Lonchura striata: one gene and its partners. The protein of the gene in region 2 purifies or fractionates together with the protein of the main gene of each other region. This does not show direct contact. Links are inferred from orthologs where the notes say so. Each region holds a gene or a part of one and is shown on either strand. Other genes may lie near its edges. The genes, in order: CCT8, PPP2CA, INTS12 and INTS9.

Evidence for each region.
Region 1: the proteins of PPP2CA (region 2) and CCT8 purify together in Homo sapiens (affinity purification with mass spectrometry; 4 studies listed by BioGRID and IntAct, with this or other methods). This does not show direct contact. The link is inferred for Lonchura striata from reciprocal best matches to the Homo sapiens genes PPP2CA and CCT8.
Region 3: the proteins of PPP2CA (region 2) and INTS12 purify together in Homo sapiens (affinity purification with mass spectrometry; 4 studies listed by BioGRID and IntAct, with this or other methods). This does not show direct contact. The link is inferred for Lonchura striata from reciprocal best matches to the Homo sapiens genes PPP2CA and INTS12.
Region 4: the proteins of PPP2CA (region 2) and INTS9 purify together in Homo sapiens (affinity purification with mass spectrometry; 3 studies listed by BioGRID and IntAct, with this or other methods). This does not show direct contact. The link is inferred for Lonchura striata from reciprocal best matches to the Homo sapiens genes PPP2CA and INTS9.

The regions. Positions count from the first base shown.
Region 1 is NC_134604.1:4,124,588-4,131,734, reverse strand, and holds the start of CCT8 (T-complex protein 1 subunit theta), read left to right. Parts: upstream 1-4,139; 5' UTR 4,140-4,235; coding exon 4,236-4,295; intron 4,296-7,147. UniProt on the Homo sapiens protein: Component of the chaperonin-containing T-complex (TRiC), a molecular chaperone complex that assists the folding of actin, tubulin and other proteins upon ATP hydrolysis.
Region 2 is NC_134617.1:9,548,286-9,556,005, reverse strand, and holds the start of PPP2CA (serine/threonine-protein phosphatase 2A catalytic subunit alpha isoform), read right to left. Parts: upstream 3,007-7,720; 5' UTR 2,889-3,006; coding exon 2,787-2,888; intron 1-2,786. UniProt on the Homo sapiens protein: Catalytic subunit of protein phosphatase 2A (PP2A), a serine/threonine phosphatase involved in the regulation of a wide variety of enzymes, signal transduction pathways, and cellular events.
Region 3 is NC_134606.1:47,849,073-47,856,992, forward strand, and holds the start of INTS12 (integrator complex subunit 12), read left to right. Parts: upstream 1-4,907; 5' UTR 4,908-5,037; intron 5,038-5,047; exon of another isoform or gene 5,048-5,496; intron 5,497-5,516; exon of another isoform or gene 5,517-6,433; intron 6,434-7,920. Other genes in the region: GSTCD (glutathione S-transferase C-terminal domain-containing protein), read right to left, coding at 1-419, 1,224-1,472. UniProt on the Homo sapiens protein: Component of the integrator complex, a multiprotein complex that terminates RNA polymerase II (Pol II) transcription in the promoter-proximal region of genes.
Region 4 is NC_134605.1:111,908,568-111,916,304, reverse strand, and holds the start of INTS9 (integrator complex subunit 9), read right to left. Parts: upstream 3,008-7,737; 5' UTR 2,916-3,007; coding exon 2,907-2,915; intron 1-2,906. UniProt on the Homo sapiens protein: Component of the integrator complex, a multiprotein complex that terminates RNA polymerase II (Pol II) transcription in the promoter-proximal region of genes.

The DNA of each region.
Region 1 (7,147 bases), on a different chromosome or scaffold from region 2:
TTCCCCTTGATTTGATGAAGTTGTAAACTGTGATGAGGTCTCTCCTCAGTCTTCTCCTTGATGCCCATGTCAACAGAACTAAGAACCTGGGCCATAAAGACGCATAATAAACATTTAAACAGTCACTTTACTGTACTGTGTTAAAAAAAAAAAAAAAGAAAAAAGGAAAAAGGATGCTTAAATACATTATGGATAAAATCTATTTTTGATAAGCAATGAACACCTAGCCTGCAGAGTGACTAAGACAAGCAATACTGATGATAAAAACGAGTTTGGACAATTGTCCTTCAAAAGAAAAAAGGCAGAGATTTGTTTATGGCTAGATTACTGTTTCAAGAACCTTAACCTCAGTACAGGGTTTGAAACGAAAGCTGCCTGATTCTACTGAGTCATGGAATCAATATGGTTGACCTCCAAGATCATTGAGTCCAACATTTGACTGACACCACCATGTCACCTTCAGCTTGGAACTTCAATGTCTGGTGACATCCTTTAGCTAATATCAGTGAGCTTGGGGCTTAACAGCAGGATATCACCTTTTTTGTTGTTGTACTTATTACAACACTGGTACATTCACCTATTTTGAAGGTATATTAGAAAATGTTGTCTGCTCATTCCTTATATGTAAACTGTATTGCACTACTTAAATGATACCTTGGGTTAACTGTCTGTAATGATTATATATATATATATATATATACATCACTTTATTTTTAAAAATAAATAGTACAGTCTTCAACATAACAGGTTTTTTTAGGCAGTGTGTGTGACAGCTATAGTGGGTCTATAAGCTGCACAGATAATTTGGCTTAAGAGATACCAGTTTGACTAACTAGGTGGAGTTGAGACCCATAGCCAATCATGTCAATCAAATCATAATGAGGACAATATGAGAAACAAAATTTTTAGTTACTTGGGGAAGGCCTTTAATATTATTTAGGCAGATAAACAAAGTACTAAACATTGGAAAAACCTCTGTCTCTATCCTGAAGATGTAGTACTGGTTTTGACCAGCCTTAGAAAATTCCAAATTGGGCATCAAAGTCACAATATGACAAAATGAAGAAAGAAGATCACGGATGTCAGTGGCTCAGACACTAGACAGCATAAATTGTGGTCTTGAGCTCAGAATCCTGCCTTTTGAGCTACCTTTTTTTTTTGATTAGTGTTTTCAGAGTTGAAAGAAATGCAAATTGGGTGTAGTAGCAGCTTGTTTCCAGAAGCTGCAGATAGATGTTATTTATTCTACTCTTCATTATTTTGTTTGGGTATTATTTCTTCAGAAGTCTTCATTTATTCAATGCCAAGTTTGCCCCTCTCTTCTGCTGTTTCCTATATTTTCCAATTACAACTTAAAACTCCTATTTCCCTCACTCCTCAGTTTGGTGTTCTCCAAGTTTCCATCAACACATAGGTCCTGGTAAGTCCTTCCCACACGACATGAACAGCTGAACCTTCAGTAGCAGTAGGCATATATTTCCAGGTATTTACAGGCTTCTGTGCACTCTACTGGATAAGAGTTCCCATATGACCAAGCTGAAAACTTAGGAAAAGTATTTCACTAGCCCTTATCTGATGCTGTATTTCATTTCCTCAAGCAAAACAGAACTCACCATCTAGAGGACATGTCATTTTTTCCCAACTAAGATTTTTTCTTATGGCAGCAAAACAGGAATGATCTCAACAATTTTACCATCTCCCATGAAATAAAGGCTCTTGGATTGTATTTTGTTGAGTACCATACCAGTGTCACAACACATGTCTTGATTGTACCTGCAATACAAACTCAATATAAACAGCAGTGATTCCTTTCTCAGACTATCATCCTTTCCAATTTGTTTGTTCTGTGGAAGTTCTGAATTCTTGTCATTTGTGCAGGTAGAACTACAGAATTGTTTAGGTTTCAAATACCATTGTGTCCAACTGATCCCCAGCAGTGCCACACCCACCACTGAACCATGTCCCTCTGCCTCATTTAAAAGTCTTTTGGACATTTCTATGCTAAGGCAATACTCCTCTAAAGTGCCCAGAAATCCTTTCCTGTGACTCAAGCTAACTGGATTAGCTATAGCAGAGAGAGCATACACTGAGGTAAGAATTCCAAATGGTAAGAAAATCTTGCTTTCCTGTTTAGCTTACAATCCTCTGCACAAGTGAGAGAAGCCCAGGATAAGGGTAGTGTTTAACCCAGGACCTGTAGAGCAATGACCTAAGTAGTACTTAGCTGATTGGACATACTCTAGTTGATTAGTCTGTTCCTTCCCATCATCTTAAAAGTGACTTAAGTGTAATCTGGGGGAAAGCTAAAGTAACTGCTGCTACTGTTACTATTCTGAATTATTCTGAATGTTCAGCACTATGTGGTTCACAATTTTCTGTTTCAGGTTTAAGCATGATTCTCTGCAAACTGAGCATGGCCCTTAGCCTTCCCTCAAGGTGCCACTCACATTTTCACTGGCCAGTATTATTGGTGAAACACAATTGTCCTACTCACACTTCAGCAGATGTCTTCAAACCCTTCTGTTCCATTGCTCAGGTTCCCAGAGCTGAATAAACAAACAAAAATTAACATTCTGCCCTCCTTATGAACTTCCCAAGATCTTGTTAAAATTTTACCCTCCTAGAATTTGAGAAACAAGTTCCTACAGATAAGCCGGGGATTTCCATGTGCACAATTATAGATTTTGGGTGGTGAAAGTGCAGCTAACGGCCAATAGCCAACCCTCTGACCTTTGCATAGTCCTTTAGCATGTCAATGTCTATGCAGAAAATAAATGGATGCATAGCTAAAAAAAGATCAAGACCAAGTCAAAGTTGTGATTAGACAGTGAGTCCCAAAGAAATCCTGGCTGTAACACAAAGAGATGTTTTAGTGTTAATTCAATACAGCTTCATACATAGATATTGTCTATATTCATAGTCACAAGCATACATATATATTATGGTTTTAGTGGTATTCTGGCTTTAAAAAATGCAGGCAACACAAGCTTTGATAAAAGCACTGTGCCAAGAGGGCAGCTCAGAAATCATAGCATTGTAGACTATCCTGAGCTGGGAGGGACCCACAAGGATCACTGAAGTCCAGTCGAGTAAGTGCTGTGGAGGGAGGTATTGTCTGCTATTGGGGGGTTTCTGTGTGGGTTGCTGATTTCCTCAGTCAGAAGCATTGTTGCTGTTAGTGCTTGCTTTCTAAACTCATTGGTGTTTTCAGTAAATTGTTCTTATCTCAACCTGTGATCCTTACGTATTAAGTTGTGAAAAACGCCAGTCACTTGGTTTTTTAAAAATTTAAAAGCTTAATAATAATAAAAAGGTTATAAAAATAGCAATACAATTAGAGTAATGAAATTTAGAGTTAGGACAATTACAAGACAATAAAAAGCAAAGAATTACGGCAGTCTGGATGCTCTTGGACACTAAGTCACGAAAAGCATCCCTTGTGAACAAAGGAATAACCTTAAAAGCAATAGCCTGTTGCTTATTCATCTATCTCATACATGATGTATAAATTCCTTGCAAATTAAGAACTTTTCTGTTTTTTGTCAGCTTCTTCTCTTTAATCTTGGTGGTTCCAAAAAGACAGAGAGAAGGTGGAAGAATGTTTGTCTTTCCTGATAAGGAGGCTGTAACTTTTTATGGGCCCCCTTCGCTGACATCTCTGTGTGAAGAGTTTCTTGATCATCTCATCTTCTCGCTTGAGCTTGTGACAAATCTTATATCGCAGAATTTCTGTTTTAACATTATGTTGTAACCTAAAAACCGTATTTAACACAGTACTTAAGAGAATTAATACAGCATAACTTTCTAACACTACACACATAATACTCATTGTAACATTTGCGAAAAGCCAATCATAAAATACGCATTTTCCAACAAAGTGAAACGCTCGCCTAGAGCCTGCTCAGCTTATGACGTTTATCATCGGTGGCCATGAAAAAACCGGCGCTTTTCCTGGAAAAGGAAGCGCCGGGAACACGGAAAGAGAGAGGGAGCGAAGGCTCGAGCCCGGCGCCGCCCGCCCTGAGGGGCGGCGCGAACCCGGCGCGGCCGCCCCGCGCATGCGCAGTCCCCCGCGCCTGCGCAGCTCCCGCCGTGCCCCGCGCGCTCCCGCCCCGCGCCTGCGCAGCTCCCGCCGTGCCCCGCGCGCTCCCGCCCCGCGCGCTCCCGCCCCGCGCCCGCGCAGCTCCCGCCGTGCCCCGCGCGCTCCCGCCGCCGCAGCCCCGCACCGAGCGGAGATGGCGCTGCACGTCCCCAAGGCCCCGGGCTTCGCCCAGATGCTCAAGGAGGGGGCGAAGGTGAGGCCGGCGTTGGGTGGGTGCGCGGGTATAAGTGGGAGGGGGGTGCGGGAGGAGTCTCAGGGTAGCGGTGCGGCGAAAGGCCCGGAAGGCCGGCGGGGCCTGGCGGCAGCACGTGTCCCGCGGGGCGGGGGCCCGGGGGTTCGCGCAGTGCCCGGCCCGGGGCCGCTCTGTGGCCCCCGCGGGGACCGCCCGGCACACGCGGCCTTCCAGAAACCTCTGCGGGGCCGGGATCCCGCTCCCCGCCCTGCCCTTGGGCCGGGCCCTGCCGCTTCATCCCGCCGCCTCCGGGGATGCGACAGGGCCCGCGTTGTTCCCAGTGAAACGCGAGATTTAATAGGGAGTTTAGAATGATTTAGGCAATGTGAACATATCACATATAGTGAACATATAGTGTATGTTAGGTCGATTCTGTTGCAGATTGGTATAAATGAGAATTTATTCAGCCAGATTAAAAATAAAAATAATTTTATTAGCGGTTAAATTCTATCTAGGCAGCCACAAGGAAAGATCAGAGCCGAGCCCGGGGTCAGCGCTGGGTGTGCAACAAGGAGTCAGCCTCAGCAGAGGTTTTCCCCTGTGCCCACACACCTCCATCCTGGCACAGGCGGGTTTTATAGGGAAAATTCCGCTTGAGGCCAGGATTTCAGCAATCAGTCTTTTCTTCTATTCAGAGTCTATAGGTTAATGAGATTTTCTTTTTTGGTGATGAGGAGGAATAATTCAGTGTCTGGAGTAGGTGAATTCCCGATGAGATTTTACGGGAAGGCTGCATTCACCTGGATCTGTCTGAGGTTTTCCATGATATCCATCTTGGGCCGTTTATGCGATGATCAGCACCTGATGATCAACAAACACCTGCAGTCCCATGGAGTCTGGACATGGCTCATCTCCTGGTCGAGCCACATCCTTTTACTTGTAAATCAGTTTCCAATATACACCCAGTCTCGCCTGCAAAGGTGGGGGGGAACTAATACAAACGGGCATAATCTAACAAGTATCTAATATTACATATTTCATACAAGGAATGGTGCGAATTATATTTACTACACATAACATTATTAAACGTATGCAAAAAGAAGGGGGGCCTCTGATGGAAATTGTTGAGCTTGCTAAAGATGGGAAGCAAAAGGGCGGCTGTGCATCTGAGTTGGAAAGTTCCATAGTGAGGAAGACTATGGAAGCTTCATCTCACCGGACCCCAGGCTCATTTTTGAGACCATTGACTTAATAAAAGAACGAACTACGCAGTCACAGCTAATTTCCATATAATGCAGAGAATAGGTGGGGTTAGTTTCTGGATATGTATAGGTGATATAGAATATGCATGGATTTTGTGTATAAATAAGGGGATTGGGGAAGCTGGGGTACACAGGATTTGGGAAGATTTTGCCCCCCTGCGTGCAGCGCTGAATAAATACCTATCTACTTTACAACCCTTGATTGTGGAGTTATTACTGTGCATCACAAGAGCTCTCACAGGGGCTGGGCAGCAACTGTCAGCCGGGCCCTGTAATTGAAGCAGTTCAGAAGTATCCGGGTCGTTCTGCTTGATTTTTCCTGATACCTTTGGCAGCGATGCAGAACAATGTTTTCTATAGATTTCCTTACCAATAAATCCGGTTTTGTTGTGTTTGATGTTAGCATAATGAAGATTTTGGTAGAAGTGAAGAATTGTATCTTAATAAAGGAAAAGCTTTCTTTGAAAAGTGGGCAGAAAGCAAGCAGGTGTGGGTTTTATTTATTTTTTATTATTTATAGAATCAGCAGAAGACTTTGGCTTGGAAGGGACCTTAAAGATCATTTAGTTCCAAGCCCCATCCAGCCTGGTCTTGGACACTTCCAGGGTTGTGTATCTGCATTTTTTCTGGGAAATCTGTGCCAGAGCCTCACCACTCTTACAGGGAAGAATTTCAGGGATTCCTAACACTTAACAGAAACCTACTCTCATTCAATGTGAAGCCATTGCCCATTGTCTTGTCTCTCCAGGTTCTTGTCCAAAGTCCCTCTCTCCAAGAAAGAGGGAACATAGGAAACTTTTCCATTTGTTGCTACTTAATAGAAAGAAGAGCAAAGGTAGCAGTTCTGAAAGCCCTTTGTGTTTCGTTTTAGAATCCTTCTTGGAGCCAAATAATGGCATACGTTCAGGGCAGGGGCAGAACAGGGAAGCAGCGTGGCCTCAGTGTTAGAAAATTCAAAGCCAGAACAGCAAGAGTTGTCTTCTGCAAAACAAGGGGGCAATCTAAGATGTTTGGCATGAATTTAGAGAGTAAATATTGTTACTTTTCTCCCTTCTCTTATGGACTGCATAGTGCTTTTTATCCTGCTTTTTCTTTCTTAAGGTCCTTTCTAGTGGCCCCATCTTGTCTTAAGGTTTCCAAACTGAAGCCAGGCTGATCGCCTTCTCAAGCACAGATATTTTACTTAATCATTCTGCTTCTGAATTTTCAGATTCAGTTAACTCAGTTCTGTGTTTTGAACAGAGAATGAGTTAAATTATTTTTGTAGCATACAAAGGTGCAAGTAAAGAAACATGTACAGAAACCCTTGCCCCTCTCCAACTGGATCTTGGTTATTTTCTGCTTCTTTTTGGCATGTCACAAAACATTTTGGAAGACTGAGGGGATGCAAATTGTATTGCAAGTCAGGTCACTGTTCAGATTTTCTCTTTAGAAGCTTTTTGTGTCTACTGAGCTACCTAGTTGAGAGGGTGTATGTACTAATTCTCACTGTCTTGGGTAAGGTTTGGTGTCTATTTACACGGTATGTGAAATACCAAATGTATATTAATAAAAGACTTTGAGGGACTCAATGAATTGAGACTGATTTAATGAGATTTTACTAGTTCATTA
Region 2 (7,720 bases):
GGCCAGTAGAAAACCTCTCACCTGGCAATAAAGGACTTCCTTTCACCTCTGCCAATAAACAATTCAGCACTAACAGGACAAACACTGCTGACATGTAACAGTAACTGGACTGGGTATATTTTGACCACTTCTTTAGAACTTGCATTTCTCAAATGCTGAAGCAAAACACACACAATCGGCTACTCAACTGATGTAACATTAAACACGCAGCACGTACTAAGCCTAGAATTATTTAACTGCCACTCAGAGGTTGATTATTTCAAATCATTTGTGAAAGTATAATGTATTATTCATGGTTACAAATTACTTCTAGACTTCAAAGATGTTTCTGCCCAGTTCCCACCACCACCATCACCCAGGTAACCAGGTTCAGTGGAAGACACACCAAGAAAGTAACTGGGATGCACAAATGGCCACAATTATTATGTTTATAAAAACCTGTTAATTTCTTCAGTTATCAATACTGAAATACGAGAGAGCCCTTAGGCTTATTCTCATTAGAGAGGCACCAGTCTGCACACAGGAAGCCCCAGCAGATCAAGAAATACTTGTCAGGGAGATCATCCAATCAAAAAGTGTTATCAGGAAAAGCCCTCTTTTTTTTATATATTGTTTATTTTAACTAGCCCCAGTTGTAATTCAATATGGTGAAGAACAACACTCTATACCTAAGTAGCGTCTTTATCTGTGCTTTGGAACAATAGCTGCATTTGACACTGTCCATAAGCTATTCATGAAAACCAGCCTTTTGATGTGATTATATGCACAAAACTACTTAAATAGCCCAAACAAAGAACAATCCAGTGAGATTTCTGAAAGTCAGTGCTGGGAACATGGAAACACATTAAAGCAAGTGCTGTCCATCAGAACAAAGGTGCCGAACTGAGCTCTCATCCCACCTCCATGAACACAGTGGAGAAAAGAAGATGGTAAACTCAGAGTTCAAGGGCCTACTTCCAACTCCTTCCATCAGCAACCATGAACAAACTTAACTACTCTTAGCATAAAGTCCAAGTAAATCCACCTGTAGTTATCAGCAACAAATCAACTTTCCCTAACATCACCAGCCCGGTGGCTGAACTCTGCACAGTGCTGACCACACACTGGGCACACAGAGAGAACTGCTACCCCACCCAGAGCTCCCCTAGAGCCAGCCCAGCCAACGTGAAGGCTGCTGCCAAAGAACATTGCGATTGGCAGATTTCTCTTCCAGTTTCATGGTCTCTCATCTCAACACACAGAAGCAGACACCAAGTTTTCTTTGCTTTTTTCCTTTACCATCATCCTGGTGATGAGCATTGCACATTTATCCATAAATGCAGCTCATTTCCATTCTTCACTGGGAAAAAATGATAATGTCATCTTGTGCAACACTGATGACTGGGACTGTATCTTCTGAAAGGAATGTCTTGTGGTATGCCTGCTTCTCACTGAACCAAACCCCCAGTACATCAAAAACTTTTTGTACATTATACATCCCTCATGGTCCTGCAAGTTACCACAGAACCCCACAAAATGGGGCCATATGCACCCACTCCTGTGGGATTCAGGACTCAGTACCCATCAGTTTATAAACGATGGTAAGTGAAATACTTGCCTCTCACAGAAAGCAATACAAGGAAGCAGCTGGACCGCCGTCATTGGAGACGCACATGGAAATAGCCAGGCGGTGACACTGCCACTCGCTTGCAACAGCCTTTAAAACACACAGCCTGGACCAAATGGAAACTGTTGAGTTGCTGGAATACAAGTGAACTAAAATCTGTACTGGAGCAAGAGCTGGTCTGGCCAAAATCACTGCAAGTTCTTTATTAAGTTCATGGACAGTGATCTCAAATCAATTTGCTTCCAAAACAACCTGGTGTAGTATGTGAAAACATGATTCCAATATTAAAATATTCTAGGTACTTTCTGTGGCATGTACATAAGCTTCTTTAGAAGCCAGTACATCCATCACTTCATATATTCCTTAATATCCAGTTCCCAAAAAATTTATAAATATACCATCTTTCAGTCTAGAAATACTTAAAATCATCAGTAATTAAAAAAAAAAAACCAAAAAAACCACCACCACCACTCCTCAACTATTACGTTACATCCAGAATCAGAATTCGACTGGAAAATGCCTCTGGATTATATCAAAACAAAATTTTCCTGCATTTCCAAAATGCAATCTGTCCTAGGTTGGCTTTACAACCTTTCTAAGCTATGAATGTCTCAATCAACACATTGCCCTGTAATATCCACGTCTCAAACCATCACCATGAAATACGAAATTATATTGGAACTCGAATGTTTATTCTGTGAATTTCGTGAAACCCAGAACCCTACTGAGGGAAACCAAAACCCCAAAGCTAATCTACCCTTCAATTAGTTATAAACGTGTCTGCGCTTATTCATATAATGAAAAATACAAGAAAAAAATCAAAGCAAGCAGCTCTTTACCGCGTGTAATTTCCAAGCGCCTACCACAAGCTTTTATTTTCATTTTACTAACTCACGCTTTTGGGGGCTGATTTAGTGCTTTAACCGGGGGGGTCTCTCGGGGGTCTCTCCCGAGGATCCATCGCGGCCGCGGCGCCATTTTAGGAGGCGCTGAGCGGGCGGGAGGCGGAGCCGAGGCTCCGGCACAGCCGAGGGGCCGCGGCTCGCCCGGCCCCGGCTCCCGGCCCGCTCCCCCCGCCGGGCCCCGGCCCCGGCCCGCCCGGCCGAGCGGCACCGGCACCGCCCCTGCCCGCAGCTCCCTGCCCGGGCCCGCCGCCTCCCCGCCGCCCCTCGCCGCTCACCTTCTCGCAGAGGCTCTTCACCTGCCCCTCGGACAGCTGCTTGCACTCGTTGAGCTGCTCCACCCACTGGTCGAGCTCCTTGGTGAAGACCTTCTCCTCCATCCCGCTCTCCCCCTCCTCCTCCTCCTCCTCCTCACCGGCTGCTGCTGCCGCACCGCCCCGCGGGCCCCTGCGATCCGCGCTCCCCACAGCGGCGGCGGCGGCCGCGACGCGTCAGGGCGGGCGGGCGGGCGCGGGGAGAGGGCGGCCCGGGGCGCTCCGGCTGCGGCAGCGCTGCCGCTCCTCGCTCCGCACCGTGTAATGGCCGCCGCTGCTGACGTCACCGCCCCGGCCCCGCCGCGGGGAGGGGGACGCCGCGGGAGCCGACGGCGCGTGCGCGGCGCCGGGCGGGGCCGCGAGTGCGCTCTGAGGGGAGGGGGCGGTGAGGGCGGTGAGCGCGCCCCGGGAGCGGCGGGAGGTTGTTCTCCGTCCCGGTTCTCCTCCGTCTCGGTTCTCGTTCTCCTTCCCGGGTTTGCTCCTGCGCCCCCGGGGGCTGGCCCTCTCCCCACGGAAGGGTCCGTTTGAGGGGCGCGGCGGGAGCCAGGGCACTGCCGTGAGGGGTCGCCGGCATGGCGGTGCCGGCCCCTCCCGTGCGCGGGTGCTGCGCGCCGGCTCCTCCCGGGGCGCAGGCCGGGCAGGGCCCTCGGCTGCCAAGCGCCTGCTGCCGGGTCGGGAGACGATGTTGGCGAGCGTTTTGTGCGGCACTGTTTGTGGTTCTCCCTGCAATTAATGCATCTAGGTATCTCCGAGGCGGGTGCCGAGAGACAGGACAGGAGCGCTCCCCGTGAACTAAACACAGAAAGTTTCACTTCCACACGGGAAAGAACTTTATGCTGTGTGTAGCAGAGCACCGGAACGGGCTGCCCGGGGAGGACGTGGAGTCTTCTCTGGAAGCTTTCAAAACCGCCCTGGACACGTTCCTGTGTCCCCTGCTCCAGGTGACCGGCCCTGGCCGAGGGTCGGACTGGCTGATCTCCGTTCCGACCCGAACAATTCTTGCTGTTGGCTACTCTGCAATTAAGCTTTCAGTTCTAAATCATGAGCATTGAATACTATCTTAATTGTACCACCAGGTAGTGCTTAGGTTAAAAAGGCTGTGCTGCATTTCTTTAAAACAATTTATACTGAAAGAGTTCTTGGAAGTCCAGCGTTTATAATGACCTTTTTAGACAGCATCTATGAATGAACTGCAGTGTAAGTGTTCAGTAAAGGAAATTAGTGGTAGACCTTTCAGGAAACTTTCAGGAAGGTGGTATTTTTTCAGGAAACTAGCGGTGACCTTAGCTACCTTATTGTACTCAGACACTTGCTACCTAAGGGAAAATATTTCAGTAAGACACAGATAAATTGCAATTAAAAAGAATGTAGGAAATAGGCAGAACCAATTTCTAATGAATTATGTATTTTATTGCAATCTGCATCTTAAATTATAGAGGAAGATTCACCTAAATAACTTACAAAAGGCATGAAAATATCAGTTTAATATTTTTTCACTTAAATGGGTCAAAATGTTGATAAAATCTTGATTTCCTAATTTCAAGAGGGCACAATGACTTTTCCTAGTTAATTTGTGTTAATTGTCTTGGTCATCACTTGCGTAGTATGGAGTCTGACTTGTTAAATTCTTTGCCTATTATTGAAGGAAATTAAGAATTCCATAGTGAGCAAGGGGTAAGGAATGTTTGCTTTCATGGGTCAGTCTCGGTTTCTTGGTGTCATACTCTCCTGCTAGACATCAGTTGGTTTGAATTGCCTCACTTAGGTTTTGTTTATCTTCCAAAATAATTTTGCTGTTCTCACATAGGTTGCCATCTTCAGATGACCTTAGTTTTGTGCTTAAAGTTGTAGAAGGAAAAGTACCATTCATTGAGAAGTGATAGGTTTCAAGAATTCACTCTGCAGCACATTTTCCCAAAATAGTCTTGAGCAAAATATATGCAAAGAATATGAAACAATAACATCAACTCTTGTGTAATTTGCCAAGTTAAAGTTCATTTTCTTTAATAACTGTTGACTTTCTGGCATAATTACATATTTGAGGATCACACTTCAAACCATCTACACGAGCTGTGCTTTCCTCTCACCTACCAGATAAAACATGGCAGGATTTCAGTTGCAGTTTTGTAGGCAAACAAGCCAAGTTAATAGTTTCTTCCTGCTAGTGTGGACCAGGCTGGACGCCTCACAGATTAACAATCACTGCTGTCTTCAGAGCACTTGTGATGGTTCCCAGGAGCGTAGTGGTAAAGAAAGGAACACTTGAAAAGGCTCAGTGATACAGCTCTTTTTTAGAGAAACTCCACTTGGGAAGGGGTAGATGATTCAGCACTCCCTGATTGTCGCTGAAAGCTGAAGCTGTGCCACTCACTACAGGAGAATTCAGGACTCTGCAAAGGAAATTCAGGATTCATTTATCTGGACACACAGAGAAGGGGAAACCTTTGGTTTCCATCTCCATTCCAAGCATTATTTTATCCTCATACTGTATTTTATCCTCCTACTCTTTTGAATTGTCTATATGTGGATCAGAAATCAGATCTCCTTCCTCCCTCTGACTTGAGAATGACAATCATTTGTTTAGAGAATCACAGTTGCTTTTCTCTTAGATATTTATCTGAGCCTTCAGAGGAGAATCTAATTATGAAAGGATACGTGCTGTGTTGCATAAGTTGGGTGTTTGTCAGGGCTTCAGATACACAGTAAGATTAAACTGTAACCTGTGAGATGGCAGTAATAAATCGTATTTAGTATGTGAATATATGCCTGGCATGTGAGTAGTTTGTACCTAAGGAGCTGCCTGGGTGTGGCTGCCCCAGTGAGTCAGGGCTATGGAGGCCACACTCGTGTGCTGACACCTGAGTCAGGGACCAATGTGTCACATGTGTGACATTCTGGAGAGAGGTGAACTGGTCAGGCTGACTGCACTTTTGTTTACACACATCCAGCTGTAGGTTATTCAGCTGTTAGCCTATAGTGCCAACTAATTCTCTACTAGTCTGAAATTAATCTGAAACTCATGGATGAGGGTGTTAGCAACTGCAATAATCTCATCTGTAACACCAACATTTCCATTGTACTATGAGACATCAGTGTTTAAATGCAGATTTATGTAGATTTATATTGCACCGTCCAACTATACAACGTATTGTCAACTTAGCATTGTAGAGTAAGGAACACGTAAATTAGTTCCTTCACACCTGACTCTCTCTTTGAATATTTTAGTGATTCTAAATTATCCATCAATGCACGTCCAGAATGTCTGTTGCTATGGTTTTTTAATACTAAATGCAGAATTAAGGCTATGCAATACAATATAAAGACTATACTGTACAATTTAAAGGCTATACAATGGTGTAACAATGAGCTGCCACGTTTAGATGTAGACCTGCCAACTTTGATTAAGACATGTATTTCTGCAAGCAAAGAATATAGACACTGGTACATTAGTGTGGAAGTCAACTGCCTCTAGGAGGAAAGGGACTTCTGATCAAATAAATTCAGAAGTACACATCATGAAATCTCTTGCATATTCAGATACTGTCCACTGCTGAATAAAATATATGTTTTGTGTCTTAATAGTCTCATTAAATCAGATAAACCTGTCATCTTAAAGATGCAAAAGACCAAAAGAAAAGCAGAACACTTTTACATCAGATATTTATTACATCATTACAAGCAAATACTATTTTTGTATATTTGACTAATTTCAGAGTCCAGATAGTACACAAAATCAGTGACATCAATAATACCACTGTGAACAGTGGCCCACTCACTTCAACAGAATGGCTTCTGTAAAAGATAGAATCTCATTATTAATCACCTTGCATGCCACAAAACATATTGCTGAAATCTGCTAGTTCATCATTCACGCTTGTGTGGTAGATAAAGCAGGAAGTGCAGTGTCTTACTGAAAGAAGAAATTACAGAGTAACCATGAAAATCACATTTTCAAATCACTATGGTTACAGATATTTCACAGTCAAGAGTCTTCTAAAAGCTAGGAATAGAGTGCTGATTCTCCAATGTTAGGGGCTTAATATTTCCCAAGTATTTTTTTTTCCTGCTCTCGTCTCATGACTGTGGCACTGAACTCTCTGTGTCCAGCCTGGCTGGGTAGGAGCACTGGAGCAGCGGGTACATCCTTGTGCACCTGAGTGCAGGGCCACGTTCCTCCTACTATCATCTACCAGTTTTAATCTCTAGAATACTGGACAAACACCACCTCAGCCAGGACAAATACTATCACTTTATCGCCAGATGGACAAATACATGATTTCAGCCCGATGAGGAAACAGATACTGAAATTAGCTCACTTTCCAAACATGACAGAAGCACTGAGAGTCTCGAGTAGAGACCCCAGTTCAAAAGATACTTGGGCCCATCCTTAAATTCCTTCCTTTTAAACAGATAACATAAGCATCTGTGAAATGTCCTGCTAAGCTCATGCTGGGAGGTTTCAGGCTCGCTGATTGCTGGTGTAAGGCTTGGATCAGCACAGCTTGTGTTACAAGTGCTTTCTTTGGAAAAACTCCTATTATTCAGTCCTTTCCATAAGCTATGTTTAAGTGCACAACAAATTATTAATACGTACAAGCAGTTGTCATGGCGATAATGTGATCCCAAGTGCGTTTTTTGTAAGAGGCACAAACCTGGCACATCCCACATGCCTTGTATGGACAATTCCTACATAAGGTTTCCTGTGTTAGATATGGGATAGATACATATCTTTGCTTATTATGCCAATACCCAGTGGAGAAACCACTGCTTCTGGCTTTCAGATAGCTGGTTTTAGGAATATGAAAAATGTAGGACTTGTAAGATGTGGGGGGTTTTAAGCTGCAACATATTAAAAAGGGACTGAACAAGTAATTTCTGTGAAATCTCAAACACAATGC
Region 3 (7,920 bases), on a different chromosome or scaffold from region 2:
TTTAAGCAGGTCTTCTTAAAGCCCAAGAGTTCCAAAACATCCTTTTTAGATGGATCTGCCTCAAATGTTTTCTGTATTATATGTCTTAAGACCACAGAAAGCCCAGCTCTGCAGAATTTGTCATCTTTCACGACAACAGCAGGCAAAGTGCAGCTCTGCACAACCACTGGAAGCTGACATCTGGAGATTAAGTGGACCTCAAGATCACCAGCGAGGCTTTTTGTCACACACTGATCACCCACATCTTCGCCAGTTGGCACTAAAAAAACTTTAAATAATTTGCAGTCACAATAGGATAGCAAAAACAGTGAGATAGATGTATGAAGAGGAAAGATACTATCTCTGTACTGATGAGAAAAAGCCAAATATAAATGTTCTTCAGCGACATTATCTTTCATCTTCTTCCTGAGATGAAGTTCCTGAAATAGAAATCAGAGTACGACATCCATAAAAGAATACAGAATAGAAAAAAGAAAAGAAAAAAAAAATTAGAGCACTGGTTCTTCCACTATCTGCTACAACTGATTTTAACATAAGACACTACTAAAGACATCCTGCATCAATAATTGGCAGGCCCTTAGTTAAGGGAAAAGAATGCTTTCACATCTACACTGTCTCTTCACATATAAGATCAGGAATAGGAAAATTACCTCTGTAATTTTTTTTTACACTTTAGCGTATTTCTGACACCAACCAAAACCTAAAAAAAATGTTTCATTTTCAATTTTTAAGTACATAAACATTTTAAAGCAAGTTGGGTTTTTTACATTAAAATCTTCCACAATATTAACCATGCATTATTTAAAAAAAAAACATTTCCTGAGCACATATCTACAACAGTCAGTTCTCTAATACAAACATCTGTCTTTTTGTAACTGCTAAATGGCATTTAGAGTAGGTATTTAGGCCTATTTAGGGAAATAATATTGGTTTTTGTATTAAAAATTAATCCAGAGCTGGGTGAGATAATAACATAAGCAAATAAACATTCATCTCATGATACTACATGAACACCTTAAACACACAACTACTTTAACGCAGTCAAATTCAACAATAGCAAAGCTGAAATTAATATCTTCTCAGTATATTAAAAACTCACATTAATTTTCCTTACAGTGGGTTGCAAGCTACATTTTTCCTACTACAGTATTCCACGGGAGTTTAACACAAGGCGCTGAAGCAGTAATTTTTCTACTCCATCGCTCAGCAGAACTGCCCATTACCTGAGATGACAGGTGGCACCGGAAAGCCTCAGACACTAGATGGCCCTCGCGGCACAAGTGACACGGGCACAGCAACAGCGCAGCGAGGAAGAGAAACCCCAACGCTGCTGAGAAACGCCAGAATAGGGTTTTATACACATATATATAAAGCATGAATGGCACTAGAACAACACTGTCTAGATTAATGAGGTCTTTGACAATTACACGCATGATACAAGTATTTTTTAAAAAAGTTTTAATTTCATACATCTTGATTATTCAATTTATTTTTTTCCATGTAGACATGAACATCACACTTACTATTTCATATTACCTACCAGAGGGCCAAAACAATTGCCCAAAAGGGGGGAGTGGAAGAATAAAATCAAGTCTACCTGACATTAAGAATACTGATGTCTGTTATAGTGAAACATTTTTAAACCACTAAATGACAAAAAAAGTGTCTCTGCTACGAGTACTGCTGCTTTTCTTTAATTAATACACTGCCACACAAAGAACAGGACAGTACACAATGCCATACCTACTTTACCACAAGATATTTTATTTGGATAAATCTTGACAACATGGAATCTGAGACAGAGCCTATATCCTAAGTACACCTCTGTGGCAGAAATCATCCAGTGAAGGCACAGCCAGAGAGGTAAATCAGAGAGAGTTATTGCTACCGTAGTCATACCCATAGCTTCTAGTATTTAAACTCCTATCCTCAACTACAGTACCTCTTGCAATATTAAAAAGTACTCTTGTATGCATTTTGGTTAATATTTTTGTTCTCCATGTGAACTCAAAGAACTCACAAGTCCATCTTTTGCTCAGCACGCAAACCACTCAGATAAACACATTCACCTGATCACTCAATTTTTTTATTCTAGTTGATGTTCCTGGACTCAATCAGCTATTTTGGTCATTCTCATGCTATGCAAAACTACTAAATATTTTGGTAAACTCTGACAAGGTTTCTATTTCCAAAGTATATTATTCTATAGTTCCCATCTATTAATCACCTGTTGTTAAAATTTATTTTTAAAAACTTCTTACAAGTAATTTTAACAAACTGGGCTTCCATAATGACTGCAACTTGATATACAGGTCATTAGAATATCAACACATTCAGTCTGGATTTATTTGAATTGTTAGTTATTGCAAAAATGTCTATGTTTCTCCACCACACTGAACAGACTTCTTTCTCAGAGAGCCTTGCAAGGTTAAAGTTTCCCGTGTTCCTGTTACACGTGAAAAAGCAAAAGCACAAAGAGAATTTATAGCTCAGTGTCACACTGGAAGTCTGTCCTAGTGCAAGCCAAAAATTTGGACATTTTTCCTTAAAGGCTTTGTTGTTTGGTTGGCTGTGAGATTTTGGGGGTTTTTAAGGTCAGTCTGCGACAATGAAAATTACAGTCAGGCTAACTGTATTCTCAAATCTCTCAGAGAAGAGAAGCTAAAATAATGTGTCCAGGAGTTCTGTCTATAAGTGACTTTACCTCTGTTTCCTCATTGTTTCCTGTAAGAAGAAAGGCCTTCTTGAATCATCACTTCAACTGAGCTGCATACCCTTATACTGCCACACCCAACCCCTCTCCCATATTTTTGGATAATTCCTCTCAACATTTTGTCTCTAAGCACTGACGTTATAAGGTCACCTCCTATATTTTTTGTTTCGAATACTGGTGCTCTTCCACACTGTTTGGTTAGACAGAATCTATATTCCTTGTGGACTTATGCACATATTTTCAATTCAAAAACTTAACAGCCTAAATGGTTGCCCATTCTCACTTAAATCTTTTCACAAAACTACTACCTATCCATTACATGTGTTTATTAATCCCTTGGCAACTTACTGAGAGAAAAGCAGACGTAGACATACACAATAAAATGAAATGTGCAATACAGAACTAACCAAACCTAGTAAGACATTGTACTGTTTGCTCACAGTATTTTTTCCCAGCACTTTTTTCTCTAATTAGGCTGTAAATTCTGTGGGAAGAGATGGATTTTTATTCTATTGGCCGTATTTACAGTAGACACTGTTTGAAAGAGAGAAAATGAAAAGCAATGTTCAATGTTACAATTTGCACTGTAACTTAAATGACAAAGATAAATAACATTGCCTACCTTTGGTATAAAAGACACCTACTTTAAAATTACAAATAATATGTAAATGTAAGTTTCACTAGCTGCGCTGTTTTTACCATTTTCTCCTCCCTTTCAACATGCTCTAAACCACAGTTAAATTAGGTCCACTCAGTTGCCCTGTTAACAACGTAATAAAGAAAAACACTGCTTTAAAAACAAGTGTTTCCCATAAAAATTAAAGACAAATAAATACATAAACATCCTCTTCCTTTTGAAAGGAAAAAGATCAAAAAGATCCTATTCATTTGTTGGTTTCTACACAGTAAAACGGAACTTCTGTAAAGCAGGCGCGTTAGCATTTGAGAAACGCTTAATATAATGCCACTTAACGCGGCAAACATTTAACTTGGTGCGAAGCATTATTTGTGCTTTAAGGCACGTCACTTGAGAGCCTGGAGCTGTATTTCTATCCAAGACGACCCATTTACTGCACGCGTTCGGGGCCAGCCCTGCTCAGAAGGGGGAAACAGAACAGCTTCGGACCCGAGCTGCAGGCGGGCCTGCGAAGGAACAGAAAGCTGTGGTCGGTTCTGGAGAGCCAAATGCGGGCGGGACTCGGGGACAGGGCCGGGACACGGGGACAGAGCCGGGACGCGGGGACACGGGGACAGAGCCGGGACACAGGGACAGAGCCGGGACACGGGGACAGGGCCGGGACACGGGGACAGAGCCGGGACGCGGGGAACAGAGCCGGGACGCGGGGAACAGAGCCGGGACACGGGGGACAGAGCCGGGACACGGGGGACAGAGCCGGGACACGGGGACAGAGCCGGGACACGGGGGACAGAGCCGGGACACGGGGACAGGGCCGGGACACGGGGACAGAGCCGGGACGCGGGGTCAGAGCCGGGATGCGGAGACAGAGCCAGGATGCGGGGGACAGAGCCGGGACGCGGGGACAGAGCCGGGATGCGGGGGACAGAGCCGGGACGCGGGGACAGAGCCGGGACGCGGGGACAGAGCCGGGACGCGGGGACAGAGCCGGGATGCGGGGGACAGAGCCGGGATATGGGGGACAGAGCCGGGATACGGGGACAGAGCCGGGATACGGGGAGAGCCGGGATGCGGGGACAGAGCCGGGACACGGGGAGAGCCGGGACGCGGGGACAGAGCCGGGATGCGGGGGACAGAGCCGGGATATGGGGGACAGAGCCGGGATACGGGGACAGAGCCGGGACACGGGGAGAGCCGGGATGCGGGGACAGAGCCGGGACACGGGGAGAGCCGGGATGCGGGGGCCAGAGCCGGGACACGGGGACAGAGCCGGGACACGGGGACAGAGCCGGGATACGGGGACAGAGCCGGGACTCGGGGACAGAACCGGGACACAGGGACAGAGCCGGGATTCAGGACGGCAGCACACGCCTGGGCTCCCGCAGCACAGCTCCCTGCAGCCCCGCTCCCTAAAGCTCTGCTCGCAGCTGCTGTCGGTGCAGCGCTGCCAAAGCAGCCCCGGGGCTCCGGCAGCGCCACGTTCCCTCCATCCTGCCCGTTCCCCGCTCCCTGCCCTTACCCGGCCCGGCCGCTTCCGTCCCGGCTCCGCCTCTTCCTGCGCCGCCCGGAACTGCTGCGCGGGGACTGCCGTGCCGCCGGACCTGCCGGGGAGCCTTCCTCCTCCTCCTCCTCCTCCTCCTCCTCCTCCTCCTCCTCCTCCTCCTCCTCCTCCTCCTCCTCGTCTCCGGTGAGACACCAGCGGGCGCGGAGAGGGAACTCGAGAGGATCGGGAAGAGGAAATTTGGAGTGGGAAGGGGGAAGGAAGAGGGAGACTGGGAGGGGGCAGAGAACGACTGGGAGGATGAAGGCAGAGGGGAGTTGAGAGAGGGAAGAGGGGGTTTGGCAACAGGAAGAGGGAATTTTGGGGTTGGGAGGGGAAGAGGGATTTAGGAGGAGGCAAAGGGGGTTTGGGAACGGGCAGGAGGAGGGAGATGGCGAGAGAGCAGAGGGGTCTGGGGAGGAGAAAAAGAATTTAGGAGAGGGGAGGAAGAGCAGGTTTGGTAGCGGCAAGAGGCATTTGGGAGGAGAAAAATGGGGTTGGCAGAGGACAGTGGGGGTGAGCATGGATGGGAGAAATAGGATGTTGGCAGGAGGGAGGAAGGGGGAGCCCTTAGGCACACCCGGCCGCTCTTCCCCTCGGGCCCGGGTGAGCTTTGGGTGCCCTGTGGGGCAATAATGGTTGTAGGAGGATGGCATTTTATTCTTTTAAGCATTCTAAAGTGTTGCTCTCAGATGAGAGGCCTTCCCTTCGTTGGTAAAAAGAAATCCCAGGGAGAAATTTGCAGCGAGTAGATTGCGGAGGGTCACGTCGTGGCTTTGGCGTAACTGCTTCAGAAATTCATTTTTGACTAAAGCTTGCTTCTCTCTCTGAGACATGATACCCAGGAATTTGTACACTTGATAAGTTTCAGTGTGGATGTTGAATAATGCAAAGATGAAAAGATAGAGAGGTGTACTCAATTGGCCAGTGTTTTAAGCCAATGAGCACTGGCATGTTGAAATATCCTCGGGTCCATTTTCTGCAGAATATTGAAGCTCAGTGGTAGCAGGGCTTAGCAAATCTCAGTTGTGCAGGTGCAATTATCACAAAATATCCTGAGTTGAAAGGCACTCACAAGAATCATACCATTTATCAGGAAAGGGATTTACAAGGAAACATCACCACTGCTGCATGGAAGAAGTTTGTTAGTGACAGCAGACACAGATAAGGGTCAAACAGTTGATGTCTTCTTTGTCACAGACTTGACCTGTAAGGTCTCACAGGGCCTTTTGCCACAAGGCAGAGCATAAGGAGAGGAGGAACTACAAGTTGTGGAAGAGGATTGAAGCAGATTGTCCCTGATAAGTCCATAGGCCCACGTAGACTTCATTAAAGGGTGCCAGCAACTGGCAGCATCTACACAAAGCTGCTTTCTGTCATCTTTTAAAGGCCACGAGACTGGGGGAGATCCCAAAGACAGGAGAAAGGCAAATCTTATCTTCATAAAGGGCAAGAAAGACAAAGAAGAGAACTACAGACTGGTCAGCCTCATTCCTTCCTCCTGTGAAAGGATCGTGGAGGAAGCCATTTGTGGCAAAAGAAGGTAGAAACTGGGAAGAGCCAGATCTACCAAGGATAAATCATGCCTGATCAATTGGCATGTCCTCTGTGACTAAATAGCTAGATCTGGAGATGGAGGGTGTGTTGGATACCATCTGCTCCGGGCTTAGGGGGATATAATGGAAGCTTGAATTTTCTTGAGGGTATTATTGGAAAGATATAGAGCCAGTCTTCATAGTCACATGCATAGTGGGAGAATGAGAGACAGCACAACTTAAAACCTCCAATTCAAAGCAAGGAAATGAAGGCAGTGAGGCATTGGGACAAGTTGGCCAGAAGGATTTTTGCATTCGTGTCTTTGGAGATTTTCAGGATCCAGCTGGAAGAGCCCTGAGCAAACTGGTCTGAATTCAGTGTCAACTTTGCATTGAACAGGAGGTTGCACAGGGTGACATTGTGGGGTCCCTTCCACAAGGAATGATTCTGTAATCCTGAAAGAATTCACTGTTTTTGTGGAGAAAACAGAAAATATAGGGCATTAATGTAATTTTTAAAATATTGGATAAGCTGTTTGTGGTGATATTGATTGGAATACTAATTTAAAAGAACATTATAAAATATGTTGTAGAATAGAATGTAAAATTAAGGATGCCAGTACTAGTAACTCCATAGCAGGAGATCTTATAAGTGTCTCAAAAGATTCTTTGAAGACAATGACAAGAAAATTAGAACGGATTAATACAATTGTTCTCATTAATACAGTTATCCAGACTACTGAAGTGCGTGAGTTTTGAAATGTCCCTTGTGGAAAGTAACTGAGAAATTATCCTGTCATAAATCAAGTGCTGATTAAGATAGTTAAGCAGCTGAAAATAGAAGTTAATTTTTTCCTCCTTTTAAGATTTTCCTAGATCTACTTTCTTCAGAATCATCAGATCTGAAAGTGACCTGGAAGAGGCATTATTGGTAAATAAGGAAAATCTGCCACTGTCGCTGTTAATAGATGTAGTCAGGAAGAGGGTAAATTCTGAGGAATAGAGGGATCCAAAGTGACAGGGAAAAGTGAATTGTTTTTACAGTGGTAAATGAAAAATAGTGCAGTGAGTGTGTTGGAAGGAATTATATAAGCTGTTCGTTCATGTGACTTTTTTAAGGTAACTGCTACAGATCTTGAAGGTCGCTGAAAAGGATATGTGAGTGAAAGGCCTTTTAATCATAAGTGGCAGTAAAAAATAAAAATATTGATGAGTTTATAAAAGGATGGCATAATAGCAGAAGACTTTAATAGCATTGCAATATAAATAGAAGATGTGTACTTTCTTTGAAAAACATCTTTAGTAGTATACGTGCCTCAGAAAATAATAACAGGAGTTCAGAAACAGATGGTTGAAAGTATGACTGTATCTGAAAATGTAATGGAAGTAGATCCATTTAGCTGCAAGTCATGATGAATAAGATAATACATGGGCAGGTGTGCAAAACAGTAGATGGCAAATGAATGAAAAAAAAAAAATAAGAGGGCTCCTACAC
Region 4 (7,737 bases), on a different chromosome or scaffold from region 2:
CTCTGGTCACAATAATGTTAACACAGGACTGCAACTGTCTGGATTAACAACCCTCAAGAAGTCTATTTACATACATTCCTCAAAAACCTGCTTTAAACTCTATTTAAATAGTAAAACTGACTAAGCCTCAAATATTAAATTCAAAATATCACAGAGAGTTTTGCTTTAAATTCACAAAGCCTTAATTATTAAGGAGTTACATTACATTTTGTCTTTTAGTAAAGTTTAAAAAAATATGTAAAGCCAAGCTGCTGAAGGAGTGAGGAATTCACTTGGTTTATTCACAAATGTAACACTCTCATGTGAAATTAAGTTCTCACCAGACCAGAACTTTGACAAATGAAGCTATAAATTGAAGTAAATAGAAAGAAATGAAGGGAAAAATAAGTTCTATTTTTGTAGCTTTTAAACTATTGGTAATTAAAAAAGGCAATGAAATATCACCACTTTTATCAGCAAAATATTTTCTTGCCTTTTTTTGTAATCATGAGTAGTATTACTACCCTGACATCTATGACCTAACTGGAAAATCTTTCTTTTTTCCTTCTTTAAAAGCAGCTAAAGTCATCTCTCTCCGTGGCTGTCTGCTGAGGCAAATGGATTCCTGGGAGTCAATGGATTCTTTCTACCAGATTCAAAGACAGTGACAGAAAAATAAAAAAGGCAATTTGTATTTTCTATACAGCTGTTTGCACAAGTGACATTGCTGGGCCTGCACCCCTGTTAGACTTTTGGATCAGGAATCCAGGAATGGAAGTGTTTGCACAATGTGTGTCTCTATACACATTATAAATGTGATAATTTCCACACAGTTTATACTTGTTACTATTTAAAACAGATCCAGAGCTTTCATATTCCTGACTGGATTAAAATGCAAGTTTTTTATTCCAAGATTTGCTTGCTTCTAGCTTGATTCCCTTATGGCTAAAGGCTGGTGCAGCCAACACACAAAGGTGCCTCATCTCCTAACTCCAAAAGTTAAAAAAAGACACAAAATACGTAAAAGGCATAAATATACCCAGCTCACAGCTTTCCTGGCAGGATTTGCAAATTGGATGAAAGTTTGGCAGTGGGGCAGTGGTTGAGGGGCTGGTTCCAGATGCTCAGGGCCTGGGAGGGGCAGGTTCTCCACACACATCCCATTCCATGTGCATCTCATGGAGAGCAGAGAGATGGTGGCTCAAACTTGCAGCTCCAAAACATTCAGAGTTGTGCAGGTTAAAGGCAGTGCTTGGAACTCCAAGTGAAGCAAACAAATCCTGCAGTGCATTCCTCCAGTATTAGTATCACATGCCAGCTTAAAATCTGGGGGGAAATGAGCACTGAGGATTGCCTGAGTGAAAGCACATTTGAGTTTGTGGGAGTCTGAGGTTTTCACCAGATTCTGAATCAGATCTGCAATCAGAATCCCAGAATGGTTTGGGTTAGAAGGGACCTTGAAGCTCATCTTATCCCAACCCCTCTGCCATGGACAGGGAACATTCCACTAGTCCCTCACCTCTACCCTGTTCTTCCAAATTCAACCCAAATCTATGAGAAAAGAGGATAAAGAGAGGATAAAAAAGAGGACTTGTCTCCTCACAACCCCAAATTCAGACACATCTCCAGAAAAATATAAGGTAAAATACCTTGTCTTATAATTCTCAGTACCTGAATTTAAAAACAATGCTAAAAATGTTGCAATACAGACTCCAGAGTTTGTATTTCCCCTCTCTACCCCTATGCAAGACTCTCAACATTAGAAGAGCTCTCCATTTACAGTGGGGTCTTTAAATAAAGATTTCCCAGTTTGCTTTCTTCCACTGAATTCTATCAGCCTCTACAATCACATCCAGGGGTGCTTGACTTTGCAGTTTTTGTCCCACTGGTAATAGCCATCCCTGCACAGATCCTTATCACACAGGTAAGATTAAGCAGGATCAAACTCCTTGACCACCTGCCTCTGGAATTAATTGTACACACTTCCACGGAGAGTGGTTTCCTAAAGGTCTTAAACCAGAACATTTACTTCTATGAAGCTTTGTTATAACACACTGCTCAGTCTCAAAACCAAGAGACAATCTTAAATTGAGTAATGGTGTCGCTTCAGATTAAATAAATCAAGTGTTGTGCTCAGGTATGTTGAAAACTGCTTGGGTTTTCACCTCCAGACCAAGAAGTGCAGCACATTATGTGTAACTGAAATTCTTCCTGGAAAAAAAATCGGCTCCTGAATCCAAGGTCTCCAAGAATGTGAAACAGCTCAAGAGAGGAGACCAATATCATGGGTCATGTACATTCTGACAGAAGACTGTAATATCAGAACCAAAACCCCTGTCAGAAGCAAGGTGCACCCTTAGCAAAGCTGTTCCAGGCTGATTTTTTTTGTTGTTGTCGTTAGTACCTCCCTGTATTATCACACTGCAGATGGAAAACGTCTTCATCACAAACCACAGGCATTTATTCACGTTCCTCGCAGAGTCCAGCAGAAGCCACACGTGCAAGGGGACAGCTCCGAACCAGACTCATGTTTAAGGCTGGGAAGGCTGAGAAACATTTTCTCCTCCTCTTACTAAGATTTGATCCTATCCAACACCTTAAACTTGGGCAACGCCCCCCCCCCCCCCTTACCCTCCCCACTCAGGGCCGACCCCCGCCTTCCCCCACACCTCAGGGCCGACCCCCGCCCCTCCCTCAGCCCCTCCCCGCCCCACTATCACCCCCTTATCCCTCAGTCCCCCCAACTCCCTCAGCATCTCCTCCCCCACCTTTTCCCTCAGGCCCCACTCCAGCGCCTCAGTTTCCCCTCACGCCCGGCGAGGCTGAGACTGCGCAGCCAGGAGGCGACCGGGGGAGCGCCCCCCCCGCCGCCGGGGGAAGGCCGAGCCCCCTCCCCGCCCTCATGGCCGCCCGCCCCGGGCACTCACCAGCTTCATCGCGTCCACCGGTTCTATTTACCGGGACAACCCTGCCCGCCTTCCTGCCCGCCCGCCCCGCCGGCCCCGGGGCATCATGGGAGTTGTAGTCCCGCCTCCCCATCGTTCTCAGATAACGTCATGGCCGCCCGACGCCTGCTGGGAGTTGTAGTCCGCCCCGAGCGCAGCCCCGCCGCCCCATTGGCGCGCCGCGCGCCCGCGGCTCTCTGGGAGTTGTAGTCCCGGCGCCGCGGGTCTCCCCGTCACCCTGGGGAGGGGGGAACTACAAGTCCCAGGGTCTCACAGCTGCAGCAGGTGGGGGCTCGGATGTTGATATCAACATGGCGCTTGTCAGACAGACAAAGACAGTCGGTCTGGTGTGATTGAGCCAAAAAAAAAAAAAAAAAAGCCCAAAAAAAAAGAGAGGGAGCGGGCGAGGAGGAGGGAGCGGCAGGAGGAGCGCCGGGCGGGGAGGGGGCTGTGTCCTCGGGGGGCGTGGGGGGGCTGAGGGATTTCCTCCCCCCTATTGTTCTCGTCCCTCCGCGCCCCCCGTTAATCTCCCCTCAATCTGGGGCGGGGGCGGGCGGGGGGACCCCCCCAGTTCCGCCGGTCCATGGTGAGGCGGAGGCGCCGGCAGCACCCAGAGGTGAGTGTCGCGGGGGGATACGGGGGGGGAGCGGCGGCGGCGGCGAGGGGAGGGGGCGGGCGGGTGGGTGGGCTGGAGGGAGGCAGGGCAGCGGGAAGGGGTCTCCCCTCCGCCCGCACCGCCGGGAGTCGCGCCGAGCCGGAGAGCGGGATGTGCGTGAGGGGGGCAGCCGGGGGCGGGCAGGGGTGGGCAGGGGCAGCCCCTCAGCACGGGCGGCAGAGTTGGAGCCGCGGCTTTTGGGGGGCTCCGCGGGTGCCCCGGATCGGGGGAGGAGGAGGAGGAGGAGGAAGGTGTCCCCAGGAGGCTGCAGCGGGAGGGCAGGGCGCCTTTGGGGTTCGCTGCTCCTGCCATTTGTATATCTATTCCGATTCCTCCCATCTCCCCGGTGTGGGGCACGGAGTGGCGGCCGCGGAGCCCCCTCAGCCTGGGTGGGTGCTGCGGTTTTGGGGGTGTTTGTTCGGGTGTTGCTCGCCGCGGAGTTTTGGGGTGAGCTGGTGCGACCCCCGGCGCTGTCTGTCCCGGGGACCCCCGGGGACGGCAGGGGAAGGAGGGAGGCTCCGATCGGGGATGGAGCCGGCTACGGAGCCCCCTCGCTCTGCCGGGGAGCTCTGCCCTGGCTGGGGCTGTTCGAGGGCTCCGGGGGCTCCTTTTCGGCTGCTTTTCGGGAGCTTTGTGCCGCTGGAGGTCGGGGAACGGGGCTCAGAGGTGCCCCAAACCCTGCCGTTCCCAGGCTTCGGGAGGTTTTCTGGGAGGGCAAAGGCGTGAAACCCCCGAAAGGTGTCTGTGTGCCGGAGAGTTTAACGTGGGAACGGGTGGGGGAGGAGGAGCACCCGGAGGAAAGTCATTCCCAAAATGTGCGAGGAGAACTTGGGTGGGGTGTCAGACGCTTGTTTGTTTTGTACTTCTTGGGAAGAGGTGGGGAACGGGGGTGGCGGGTGAATGGTTTTGTGTCCCGTGTCCGGGATGGTTTTGGGTCAGCACGGTTTGACCGCAGGAGCGGTCGGGGGGAAGCGGCAGGAAATTCTGCTGGAGTGTTTGCCTCAGCTTCGGGGTTAAAACAAAACAAGATGCGAGTATGTTTAGGTGCCGAATACACACCCGAGCCAGACCCCGCCGAGTTCCTCGACCTCAGTTTTGTCTGATGGGTTCTTTCCTTTCTTTCTTCTTTTTCCTTTCATTTTTTTTTTTTTCCCTAGTTGGTGGAGTGCCTCTTGGTATGTTTGCAGAGCACTCCTTCGGAATCATTTTGTTCTTTGAGATAGGTCTGGAAAAGCCTCGGTTGGACGTGCTGTTTTTTCCCCCAGTTCTTTCGTGTTAGGGACAAAAAAAAAATGCTGTTTGGGGGGTGGGGAAGGAAGAAGGAAGAGGAAATGAAGGTTTAAGCATGTTTGTGGAGTCGGGTCTGTCTCAGTTCAGGTAACTCTGGGAGTGTGATTCGATGGCTTTTAAGTACAAAACGTTTATGAACAAAAAACCGGGGAGATTTAAACTTTGTAGGGAGGAAAGCGTTAAAGTGATGGCCAGGGAACGCGGATCTGGGAGACGCTACTTACGTCCCCTGCTTCTAACTAGTGGAGATAGAGGGAATGAAAAACTAAAACACTGGGGAAAAATACCCCTGCAATTTGTATAAATGATGCCATGTAAAATACCGGAGCTAGGAATTGTGCTCTGCAGACAATTGTTGGGCTGGTGAAAGCCTGAAGTGCCTGCTCTGGTCCCGTGATATGACTCGCTCATTTCTGCAGGGCTCATCAGGTACAGGCTCTGCTTCCTTCCTGGGATGGTGCAGCTGGCATTTGATTTCCTCCGTGGATGGGAAAGGAGGAGTCCTGTGCAGTTTTTTTTTCCCCGAGATGATTGCATTTTCTTTGGCCTTGCTGTACCCTGCCTCATTAGTAGGAACTGCATCTATACTTATTTACCATTATACCGTGTCCCTTGGGAAGCAGGGTGTAGTTTGGAGTAGGTATATATGGATTTATCACTCCTAATATTTTTTTTCCTCCCATCGTGCTAAGACCAAATCCGTCAACAGCAGAGAACAAACTTAATTTATTTCTGTGTTTCGCATCTCCCTTTTTACCATTTCTCTTCCAAATTGCTAAGAAAACATCTCTGAGATGGAGACGGGGGAGAGGGAGGAAAGGGATGGAAAACGTCTGTGCAGGGATGCATTTGTTATTTGCATGTCTGGGAAAGAGCAGGGTTTGTTTCTGTATGTGAAAACTGGGGTTTGGGAATGTTTTTTCCCTTATGTGAGGATTATTCTTTTAGCCCTGTGATGGCCACAACTTTTTCTGTCTGGTTGAAAGAATTACCCGAGGAGCCTGGGAAGGAGGCTGGGAGCAAGGAACTTGTGTTTCACTCCGTGCTGCCTGTTCTTCCTCCCCTCGTTCCCTCAGCACCAGTGCAAGCACCAGAACAGGCATCAGCATTTTTACTCCTGTGTCATCCCACTGTTCCCAGCAGGTCTAGACGACGTTGTGGTATGCAGGCTGCCAGCTGGGTTACAGGAATGCTATCCTAGGTGAAACAGCAGGATTTTTAAGGAGGGGTAAGGAAACCTGGGAGAAAATCTTGTGTGAATGAGGCCTGGTTTTCTCTACAACTGCTTCACTGAGCGGTGTCAAGAAACTCCGTGGGTTTATTGACCTTTCTGGACAACATGCATCTCTCTAGCATTGTGATTCTGATAATTCCATGGAGTCTGTAGCTGCTGTCAGCTGCAGGGAGCTTATTTTTAAGGCAGTTTCTGTGTGGGTCTTACTGATCTCTTACAAAGGGATATTAAAAGTTGATAGCTGTGCAGTGTTTTGAAAATTAAATTATTATAAAGTGTTTACTTTATAGTGATGAATCCATAGGTTCATGGGAGTGTTTGGTATGTTTTTTCATTGCTGTCTGGATTTGGGAAGAGTGAGGCTCTGAAATTTGTTTTTAATACTAATTTACTTTTTAATAAAATGTATTTTTTTTAAGCGTGACTGTCAAGAATTGTTCTGTCGTTCACTTTTGGGATTGCTCATTTTGTGTTGTGTGTCAGTGGGGCAGGGGTGAAATTTGGGTCTTTGGGTGGAGAATTGGGAAAATTAATGAAACTGAACCATGAGAAAGGAGGAAGCTGTACTGTTCCTTGTACCAAGGGATTGGGGAAGGTATTTGGTTGTATATGTTAGAAACCAAATGAATTTTCAGGAAACAGCAGCACATTTTAATCTAAAGAAAGCAACTTGTACTTCACAGCAATTTCTGTGCAGAGCTTTTAAGGACATTACAGAATGACAGGCTACAGTATTGGCATCTGTAGCAAATCTTTTTCATCTGCAAAGTTTTAGAATTTGAAATCAAAATAATGTCAGCTTAAGAATCTCACTGCAAAAAGACAGATGTCTTTGTTCCTCCTGTCGATAACTTCATGCAGCTTTGATTCTAAAGTCCCTGAAGTTTATTTCACATTATGCTGATTTTAACAGAGCGGGGATTGGATTCTGCATACATGTCCTCATGGGATTGGGCTTTAATTATACCTATGCTGATAATATGATCTGGTGGGTTATCAATGCAGTGAGACCAATACTGTGATTACAGCAGGATTTTTAGGACATAATGAGGAGAATTTGATTTTTTTTTCCAGGAGGGGGTCAGTGTAACTCGTAACCCTAAAGCTGGTTTTATTTGTAGGATTAGTAATAAACTATATTTTAGCATTCTAATATTCCTGTATTGACTAAAGCTCCCTTCTGATTTGTATTAAATTAGGATGGCTGGGTAACAAAGTGTACTAAGAGTTTGTGTCTGAGCACTCAGTCATGCAAACGGGTTGTGTGGTAGCTGTGAATGCAATTCCCAGGGTTAATGCTAAAGATAAGTGTTTTGACAAATGCTTTTAATTTGGGGAACAATGCAAGCAAGAATGACAGGATATGAAAAGAAAGTGCTATTTTTCCTCTCGCAGGTGGCAAACAAAGGTGTAGAGGGATCAACTTGCCCAGGTTCCTACAGGGAGTCCGCAGCAGAACTCGCAATCAGTCTGTGATCTCAAGGGTTTGTCAGGGCTTTAATCAGTTTTTCTTCCTCCCCTCATTAATTGGCTAGCTTTGACATTTTAAAAATAACATCTAGAGATTATTTCTCTTTTCTCCAGTTTCAAACTTTATCGCCTGAAGTTTTTTTTGTTTTTTTTCTTTCATTTTC